2 linked regions of the Schizosaccharomyces pombe genome follow. The protein of the gene in region 2 purifies or fractionates together with the protein of the main gene of each other region. This does not show direct contact. Each region holds a gene or a part of one and is shown on either strand. Other genes may lie near its edges.

Evidence for each region. The genes of interacting proteins can lie anywhere in the genome.
Region 1: the proteins of tra2 (region 2) and eaf7 purify together in Schizosaccharomyces pombe (affinity purification with mass spectrometry, with the first as the bait; one study listed by BioGRID). This does not show direct contact.

The regions. Positions count from the first base shown.
Region 1 is NC_003423.3:4,258,803-4,263,446, forward strand, and holds eaf7 (NuA4 histone acetyltransferase complex subunit Eaf7), read right to left. Parts: upstream 2,660-4,644; 5' UTR 2,518-2,659; coding exon 2,361-2,517; exon of another isoform or gene 2,271-2,360; coding exon 2,137-2,270; exon of another isoform or gene 2,075-2,136; coding exon 1,547-2,074; 3' UTR 1,010-1,546; downstream 1-1,009. Other genes in the region: RNA-binding protein Cip1, read right to left, coding at 3,671-4,644. UniProt on the Schizosaccharomyces pombe protein: Component of the NuA4 histone acetyltransferase complex which is involved in transcriptional activation of selected genes principally by acetylation of nucleosomal histone H4 and H2A. The NuA4 complex is also involved in DNA repair.
Region 2 is NC_003424.3:257,324-263,130, reverse strand, and holds the start of tra2 (phosphatidylinositol kinase-like protein Tra2), read right to left. Parts: upstream 3,521-5,807; 5' UTR 3,413-3,520; coding exon 3,349-3,412; intron 3,288-3,348; coding exon 1-3,287. Other genes in the region: plasma membrane potassium ion transmembrane transporter Trk2, read left to right, coding at 3,670-3,775, 3,816-3,970, 4,011-4,911, 4,947-5,807.

The sequences.
Region 1 (4,644 bases), on a different chromosome or scaffold from region 2:
CCAATTGTACAATAATATTTCATCAGCGTCTTTATTCCTTCATAAGTCTTTATTTCATTACCACAATACCGAGTTTTCTCATTAAAAAATTTCATCTCACATACATTTTATTCTTTTTTTGGAAAAATTATTATATCATGGCAATTTTGGGACGAGACTTTGCCGTTGAATTAATAGCATCTCTCCTTGTGTTTGACTGTTTGACCAATTTGAACAATTAATTAATTCAATGAACAAGTTGCTTTCAATGTCTTTGACTAAACAATTCAAAGTTTTCAAGAATGTGTGTGAATACATCAAAGATGAAATCTACCAAGCGGAAGGCCGCTATATATATATATAGGAAAAACTTCTTACTACTTTTGGGCTAGATGCACTATTTATATCAAATTTTATGTGCTGATAGATAAACTGGTAATCCTTCTATGTGTAACTGATAGTGAGCCCTATTACCCTATCAGGTCGGTAAAACGGCGAATATCAATTCTGAATAGAGAGACACTAGGATTATCTTTGTTAGTGTACTTCCATTGTTTATTAAACGGTTTCAAGTTTAATTGCTAAAATTGTTTTTATGTTGTTGAATACTAAATATTAATGAGATTTTTGCCTCACAGTATGAAAATTATGTACGATATTAACCTTTCAAGTAAGGGAATCTACGAAACTCTATGAAGTAGATCCCGCTGCATGTTTATGTACCTGAATGCAAGCGCGTTTGTGTATTTTTGATGTCTTTTAAAGGTTTCGCAATGACGGGTTGCTCAGTTTTGCTTTGCTATTAGAGAGCTGTACTTATAGATCTATTGTGTTTTAAAAGTTGTTAAATTCGGCAGACTCTGCTAGGCAATGGTCTGATGTGCCGATAAATAATACATTAACTCATGTGAATACTCAAGTCCGTTTCACCGGAATTGAAAAATTCATTGATCAAATCGTTACCTGTGTAAGGTTTTGAAAACAATTTGCTCATCAATTTGAAAGTAATATGTATACTACCTATTGGAATCTCTCTGTCTATGCGTGTTAAACATACTTTAAAACATATTTCCAACCAAATCGACATTAACATATGGACCTATCGAATTAAAATTGAAAACTCACAGTTAGAAGATTTTTTTTAGCAAGTCAAGCTATCAAACAGTATATATAGCTACATAAAACATCGTAACGAACAGTAAAGAAGTGACGGGATTCAAAAATCGTAGCGGTAAATCAGAGTAAATTTGTTTGTAACAAAGCCGTTCGTCTTTTCCCATTACGTGAATCGAGCATCAAAAAGGAGTAAAACTGCAAAAGCAAATTAGTTTTGGACATGCCGTCGATCCCATTAAACCTATAATTCTGCTAAAACAAATCTCCTTGACATACAAAATATTAGTTGTAGTAAAATCATAATTCTTTTTATTTTTCACTTTTTATAAATCCCTTGTGATAATTAATTTTGGTCTCATATATAAATAACCGTTCATTAGAGTAGACCAAGCATAAATGATATGTACAAATAATCAGTCTTTCCCATCCTAGGTTTTTCTGTTAACAAGAGCTAGGTCGGAGGCCTCCGGCTTCGAGAGCTACGGCGAATAGCTTGGTTTGAAGCTGCCGGTGAAGAAGCAGGCTCTATGGGCTCAGTAGCCATACGCTTTGGAGAACGGGCTGTATTTTGAGAAGATGGCGAGACGGATCTTTTTCGCAAAGTCATGGAACTCTCTTTCTTTTCAGACTTTTCTTTTTTTTCGGGAATAACAGGCTGAATCTTTGGACTTTGCGGCTGTTCAGTAACAGGAGAAATACTTCTAGAAGAGGATCGTAAATTCCGAGAAATTTTCTCTTCTTTAGATTCAAGCTTGACTTTACTTTCCTTCTTCTCTTTCTGTAAATTCGTCTCCTGCTTAACTTCGGGTTCACCGGGTTTAGTTTCTACCGTTTCAATCTCCACTTTTTGAGATGTTTCCAATGGTTTCTCGGATTTTTCTTTTACTTTAAGAATATCTTTTGGTAATTTAAAATCTTTAACATCTGGCGACTTTATTCGTTTTTCTTTCGCCTTAACTTCTTCATTTCCTGGAGCTTCCTAATTTAAAAAACTGTCAACAAATACTTGAAAACAAAAAATTAAAAGGCTTTTTGACATACCAATTCTTCAAACTCTTTCAAATTATAAAGTGTTCCTAATTTATTCCAAACGTCCTGAGCCTTAATTGTTGATCTTTTGCAGCCATCACGAATTTCTCGTAAAATCCCTATCATATAAAAATTTTTTTCTATTCCTATTTTTTAATTAGTGAATGAATGCAATAATTTGATAACATGCAGCTTTTAAAATAAGAGACCGAGCAATTAACCTTTCGAACACTTACCTACAGGGCGCAATCCACGACAAATAGCTTTTAACAGTAAGGTTTCCTCTAAAACAGACCATTCAGTAACAGAATCATTCATATTTGATTCTTTATTTACATCCTCCTGCCTTTTCTGCTCGGCAGCAGTTGATGATCTTGTTCCCCTCGAACTCATAAATACAATTGCTATCCTCTAATACATAGGTTTATATGGGTAAAATAAGAAAATTTCTGTTTCTTAGTTTACTTTTTCTACTAATTTAACTTTATATTATCGGCAATATAGCAGATTATCAATATTTATGGTGTTGTGCGGTACTTCCAGCCATAACTCATGAAACTGGTTTTTATAATATTTTCTTTTTCTAGCTGCAGTAATTACAAGGTCAAGTGTATTTCATCTTTTTTCATAACCTTAACAAAAAATAAAAGTTCATCCAAAAAGAATCGTGCATCTTTGTGTTATCCTTTCTTCATTCTTAAATTCAATAGACATTCAAGTGCAGTAATTGAGTAAGGCTGCGATAACCCATAAAGTATTCTTATTTTAGTGAATCCTTTGTAACTTCCTTTAATTACAACTTACTAACAATGGAACTAAAAGTCCACCATGCTTGCAATTTCTTTTTCTTTTTTACATATAAATCAATTCGCATTATATAGGAAAATTTAACGATATTTTAGGTAATTTTAAAGTAGCTCATTTAAAGCCCTACAAGCTTGGTAGAAAATAGACTTTAAATCGTAGGTTTATTTCTATATCCATAGTACGGTAATACTAAGCTAGGAACATTCACATCCACATAAAGAAGATGATTAAATTTACAAAAATAAAAGTTCAATTTTGTAATATCAGACTAATGTATTTGTCCAAGGTTAAATTTAATCATGTAAAGTATGTGTATATTATACGGTAGGGCATAAATTTCTTATACAAGAAAAATCGTTATAATTTGTAAAAAAATAGGAGCATCGCTCATCCGTTGATTATCGTCATAAAACATTATGCCTCACCCAACATATATCCATCATTGATTGCTGTTAAGTCGAGTCGTCCAAATGTGTCGTGGGAATTCAAAACGATAAAATATAAGCTTCTAAGTATTTAAAAGGATTATTTGCTGGATAACCAACTATGTGAAAGGGAAAACAAAAAATCAACAAAATGAAGCCCATAGAGTTTAGATTCATCAGAAGTAAGTGATAAAGGGATAAAGAGCAAAATTTAGTCAAAACAAATAGCGTATAGTAAATGCATCTATAGTTGGCGTAAACAAAAATCATATCTTAAAAGGTACATAAACAGTTTCTTTATAATTGCATAGACTCTAAAAGTGGGAGACACCAAAACTCTGCTTGGAAGCGGAGGTAGAAGCATCATTATCATTTTTTGAATTGAAAGGTGAACTCAAAGTAGAAGCCTTTTGAAGCGGTGATTCATTTCCATAAATTTTGTCGTCAATCGAACGAAGTTGGTTTGTCAATGGTACTGCGAAACTGGGAGGTGGGGTTATAGGGGCACTCTTAGTACCATTCAATGAATGCTCTTGCAAAAATCGAGTAGCTAACGGTGCCGGCATATTAAATCTTAAATTTGGAGATGCAGGTTGCGACTGACTTACGCTCGTATTCTTTTTATTCGGATGAGTAACTACTAATTTTAACACCTCTCCATTCGGGCGAGCATAGTAATCGAGATCAAAGTACAGGCAAAAGATTCTAATGGCATTTAGAAGGTTTCCGTCCTTAGAAGTGGTTTCAAATGTTATTTCACGAGAAGGAATGCATTGATGAGCAAACAATAGAAGTCTACTATAAGTTTCAAGGGTACCAGTGTCATTCAAATTTAAGCCTTGATCAGTAAAGCTAACTTCAAACATCTTGTACTGCTGTTTACGACGTCTTTCTTCAGCTTGACGTTTCTTTGCTTTTTCCACCTTCTCGCGTTCTGCAGCTGGTAATTGGCGTTTCCATTCAACACGAAGACGTCTGCCATTAATTTCATAGCCATTAAGCGTTTGCACAACAACTTGAGCCTCTTCAGGACGATAAAAATTAGCAAAAGCCAATCCTCGAAATATTCCATTGTCATAGTGATAATTAAAGGCATAAGGTCTGGGAATACCTAGTTGCTTAAAATGATCCAACAATGTATCTTTCTCCAACGAGAAAGGAATATTTTTCACAACAATAGCCGTTGGAATGGTATCTTCACCGGGTTCAACCGGTGTTGAATTAGAATTGGCAGTCGATCCTGCTTTGATTTGGGTACTGTTAAAAGCATCCAACGAAGGCTCTGCGG
Region 2 (5,807 bases):
ACATTTGTGCCGGAAATCAGATAATAAGACCTCAAAAATTGGAAGGATAAAAGCCCTTTCTGGATTTTCAAAAATCGATTCTAAAAAACTAAACATAAATTTAAGTACATGTTTCACAGCATCACCCATCTTGCTATTGTCATTACAAACGACTTCTGATAGACAATGAGCAAAATAATGAGGACTAATAATAACCTCCTTTTGCAAATTAGTCGTAAATTTTGAATGATTTCCTTGAATAACGTCAAAAGCATAAAAAATATCGTGTACAATTACGTTGACCGCCAGTTTTTCAAGCCAGAAGTAAGCTTCTTCGCGGAGTTCATCAACCGTCGTAGCAAAAAAAAGTCCATATGTAGCCGAGGCCAAAATTATGGTTTCATCTGAATCATCACTCAGTTGGGTGAATGAACTCCTTCCAGTCATTCGGCTCGGTATTACAGAATATGGTCGTCGAAAATCAAAATTACTCTTAGAAATCTTGTCTGCAGTACATCGAATGGATGAGGCTAAGCTGTTAGTAGCGTCACTCTTATAAACATAGAGCTTTGAAATATTGCAAACATAAGTGAACGCTTGTTGCTTAACCTCCAGATCACTAGAAGGGCTAGAAAGCAAATTCACAGCCTCATCAACATATTGGGTGTAATGTAAAAGTTGTGGTTGTTTAACCCCTTTTATCGAAAGAAGTAAAGTAAAATCGTTATTCGGTTCCGGCGAATTCTTTAAACTCTGGACTCTATCAAGAAGCTTCCTATTTCTTCCACCAAGTTTACCAAGTATTTTCAAGGCAGTATGGCTGTGATTATAATTATAAGGAAGAGGTTGTAGATGACTCCATAAAGCATTCATTAGATCTTCTATGTAAGGAGCCATTATCGGATCCAAAAAATCAGGAGTGAGATTATCCAAGCATAATTCAAAGGTTCGTAATCCCTGACTAACTAATTCTTGACTGCTTTTTAAAGACATGACGAGAGGTCTCATTAGATAACTCATGTATGGTAATAAAAGACTAAGCCTTACAGGAATAGTAAGACAAAGTTCGGTAAAAAGGTCTTTCTCCTTCGGAGTACGGGCAGATATAAGCAATGAATTAAATGCCTCTAATAGAGCGTGCAACAAAGGCATTACTTCTTTATAAAGGCTTTCAAATCTTCCCCCACCAATTCCTCGGAACAACGCTCTTAATAGATAATAGTAGTTCAATGAATTAGCAGAATTGGGAGCCAACTTCATACATTTCACAATAATTTCAGATACATAAGGCCGAAGAACTGGCTCATTCTCTGTTGCAAACATTGAGACTGTAACGAAAGAAAGACGAAACAAACGCAACAAGACAGAACCATGCCTGATGTCAGAAGATCCGAGTTCCTCAATTCTGGAAAGCAGAAATCGAAGTAAAATATTTAAAAATTTTGATGATGTGCTCTCATTTGAAAGCAAAAACTGTGGAATGTGAAATAATGTGAGATTTTTTTTAAGTTGATCAAAAAAAGTAGGAAGGTTTGTTTCAAAAACTTTAAGAAATATAGATGGCTCGAGATGTATAAAAATGGTAGCAAATACTTCAAGACAATCTTTCTCGTCTTTGTTACGAGGAAGCGTAGATATAGCAGGGCGATCTAAACTTTCTTCTTCGCAGCAGAAAAAAGTTTCTAAATAGACTTGCTCAGGTCGAAAATATGAGAATCCTTTGCCAACCTCAAAAAAAAGCTTCTGAAACGTAACAGCTTCGAAAGGCTTGATATTCGTAAGGAATCCCGAAAATTGTTCACCTCCAATTTCTATGCATCGAGACTTGCATGTACGAAGCCCATACATAAGAGCCCGTAAGCCAAACATCAAGTTTTTAAAAAGAAATGATCCATCATTGACGGAAGTGCTAAATGAAGATAAATCCCTAGGAGAAGAACGCGTCGGTGACTTTGTCTCTTTAATTTCTTCTTCATACTTTTTCTTAAAAAACTGATCCAAACTATCATTAAGTTCCGAAAACTTATTTACAAAGCTATCAAAAATAGATAAAAGAAGAAATATAGCATCGGGGATGCTAGGAAGACTAATCATTCTGTCAACCATGTTTAAAATGAGCCGGGCACCCATAGTCTGTAACCCAATGCTAAGAGTCAAATCATGCATATTGGTCGAATAAATCATTATAGATTTTCTTATTTGCGTTTCGTTAAGTTCGTCACGTACATGATGAAGTAAGTCAGCTAATGTACTAAATGCCAAGGGACGTAACAGCTTTTGAGTACCAACTCCATTTCCTAATAATATATTTAAATCTAACAAAAAATCCAGCTTTTTGACAAAAAGAGATTTTAAGTTTGTTGACAGAATATGTCTCGTAGCAACCAGCAGTTCTTTACGGGCAAAACACATATCAAAAGGGCATCGCCTCAAAAGCTTTATTACAATGTCCGGTATTATATCCTTCTCAGAAAGTGTATTGGGATGAGTTCGTAAAATATAAGCCAAGAAAGATAAAGTCTTTACTTGAGCCATAAAAAAATTACGGTACTGATATTTATTCCTTATAAACTCAATAAAGTCAATGCTTGAATCTTTTTCAATCATTGCATATGAAGCGATGTCTATTGGAACATCAATTTGTACCATCTTAAGAAAACAGGGAATTATGGCTTGAACACCAGGGAAAGCAGCTTGACGATATGCTTGAAGAATCAAAACTATAATGACCGGACACTCTACATACACGCGGAAACTTTGAGAAGCCAGTTCCAAAGGTTGAGTAGAAATAGCTAAAGAATTGACACGCTGTTGGATGATTGAAGTTTCCGTAGACAGATAACTACCAAAAGCCAGGGTTGTATTTTCCTCTTCATTTGATTTTGGATTCTCGACAAATATTGAGGGAATTAAATAAGGAAGGTTTGTAGAAAGCTCAAGTACCAAGTCAAAAAAGGGTTGTGCAGTGCTTTCTATACAAAACTTAAAAGTTTTGAATATATCCATAATAACTTTTAAGCAAAAAACAGCGACTTCTTCATTATCTGCTTTAATCAAGCTAATGAACGAAAGCACACAAGACTGCGCATATTGTTTAAATTCATCACGGTGAGCGCAACTTTGTATTAAAGTCAATGCTTCGATCTTGAGTTCATTGACAGAAGAATTTCTATAAAGATTCACCTCTGTATTTCGTAAAAAATCCAAGAGTAGTGGAATTAATTCTGCATACAGCTGCGAGGCGTCTGAAGATATGCTAGAAACCTTAGTAATTAAAATTTTAGTTAGTTTGATTTTTTCTTCTATTTCTTAAAAAAAGTTAGTATAAAATAAAAAAATGAATCAAAATATCTACAAAAATTTATATACCTGTACTTTCAGCTTTCAGTAGCTCTATAGAGCTGCTGAGCGACTTTTCAAAACCGTCTTCCATAACAAAGTTCGGTCCATGCAGATACTTTTTAATAAATCTTTGAAACCAAACTTGATACACTACGAGATTTTGGACACAGCTGTAAAAAAGCACAGAACGATTACTGTCAGATGTTGTTTAGTTGTTGCTATGTTCAAGGTGAATCGTATAGTGAGGACGCAAAACTGCACTATTCAAGAAGCCACTGAAGCTATTTGAAATCGACGTGAGTGTAATTTTTATCAAATACAATATAATACTGCTTTATAAACTATGACATGTTTGTACGATATAGAAGGTTTTTAAGAAGGAAAATATTATACAGATTTTATCATGCAGTTATCGGGTTTTTCTACAAACGGTTCCGGTTCCTTGAATACCATTGTATGTGAAAAACTTCTTTTCAAGCCTAACTTTGTTCAAGATTCTTTTATAATAGGAATGACTATTTTATGTTCAGTAATATTGTATGGGTCGGGAAATTTGCGCTACATAGATGCTTTGTTGTTGGCTTCTGGTTCTTGTACTCAGACTGGCTTGCAGCCTGTGGACCTCACGCAGATATCCATTTACCAACAGGTATGCATATTTTTAAATAAATTTTTTAACTATTTTTTAGTTAACTATTCTCCTTTTTGGAGTTTTGAGTACACCAATTACTGTGAACCTGGGCTTGACTTTGTTTAAGCTGTACTTCTATAACAAGCGATATGACATGGTCATAACAAATAATAAACTTAGGATGACATATACTTATCACACTGTAAGAAGAAGGGATACTCCAGAGCCTTCCAAAGTTGGCAATCGAAAAATTCGGGTTTTGTTAGACCAGGGTAATCAAATGCACCGGCCAGTTGCCCCAGAGACTAAGGCTGAGGAAGCTGAACACCAAGAGAATGAAAAACATCACAGGCACCATTTTCGTCTAAGGAAATTTGCTAATGCAATCGATCGCCCAAGCTTCTTTCGCGGGAATACCATGCCCGCTCTCCCTAGTTATGCAGGTGTTAGAAATTCTCAAGAAAATGAAGACAGAACTGAAGCATTAAGTCCAGCTCTTGGGAAACGAAGAATGGCATCAATCGACAATGGATCTTTATCCGTTGTACAAAACAATGCTAGAAATAATCCTGTCGACTTTTACATTCCTAGTTCGTTTGAAGAATCATCTTTTCAAACAATTCCTGAGGATTTTGAGCCTCAAGTACATGACCACGAGAATCAAACACAACTGAACCATCATCTGGATAACAACAGTTCTATCTCTTCGCACAATCCTTCCCTAGAAACTGCAAATGATGGTAATCAGGAAACTGTTTCATCCTCAAACTCAAACTACAGCACAACAAGAGTTGACAATGATCCACATGTAGCATCTTATTCACCTCAAAATTCGAATTTTGATCATCAGGCTGCTGCAACTACTAACGATGCACATCAAAATGTAGTACGCGGCTCTGCAATTACCATTGCACCAACCCCTGTTCCCAGGCATAATCGCAGGCCTATATATTTTGCTGGTAAGTCATTCCGTGATTTTAATATTGACCTTTAGATGACACGAATGGAGCTGAGCAGGAAAAAGGTGCTCATCGACTTGATGGACGAGGTAGAAAACGTGGTAAATCATTTGCTGTTACACCTACACTTCACAGGAATGAGCGCTCAATGTCTGTCCTACCATTTCAATTAGCCAAATCATTTACATCTGCTCTTCCTCGAAGACTCACATTCAACCGTACTCACACGAAAGCTAGCACAATGAGTTTACCTTATTTATCGTACAATGCAACAGTGGGCAGAAATTCTGCATTTTATGCCTTAACTCCAGTGGAGAGAGAAGAATTGGCGGGAATTGAATATGAATCTCTCAGGATATTGACTGTCATATTAGTGGTTTATTTTCTGTTTTGGCATATTCTTGGTTTGGTTGCGTTCCTAATATTCATTTATACTGCTAAAACATCCGGTCGTGTAGTTACGGACGGCGGTATAAATAGAGGCTGGTGGGCAGCGTTTACTTCTAGTTCGCTGTTTGATAATCTAGGCTATTCGTTGAACAGCGATTCTTTAAATTCCTTTCAAAAAGCCATATTTCCTCAGGTTCTTGGAACTATTCTGATATTTTTAGGGAATACTTTCTTTCCAATTATGCTCCGGTTTATAATTTGGATTATGATACGAACAACGAGATTTTCGCCTAATTTCCAGCAAGCTTTGTACTTTCTTTTCGAACACCCTCGACGAAGTTTTACTCTTCTGTTTCCTTCAAAAACTACTTGGGTGCTTTTTTTAAATTTAACTTTATTGAATTTTGCTTCCTTTTTCTTTTTTATGGTTTTAGACTTGGGTAATTCATATGTTGACAAAATTCCAGTTGGTTATCGAATTATGAATGCTATATTTCAAAACGCAG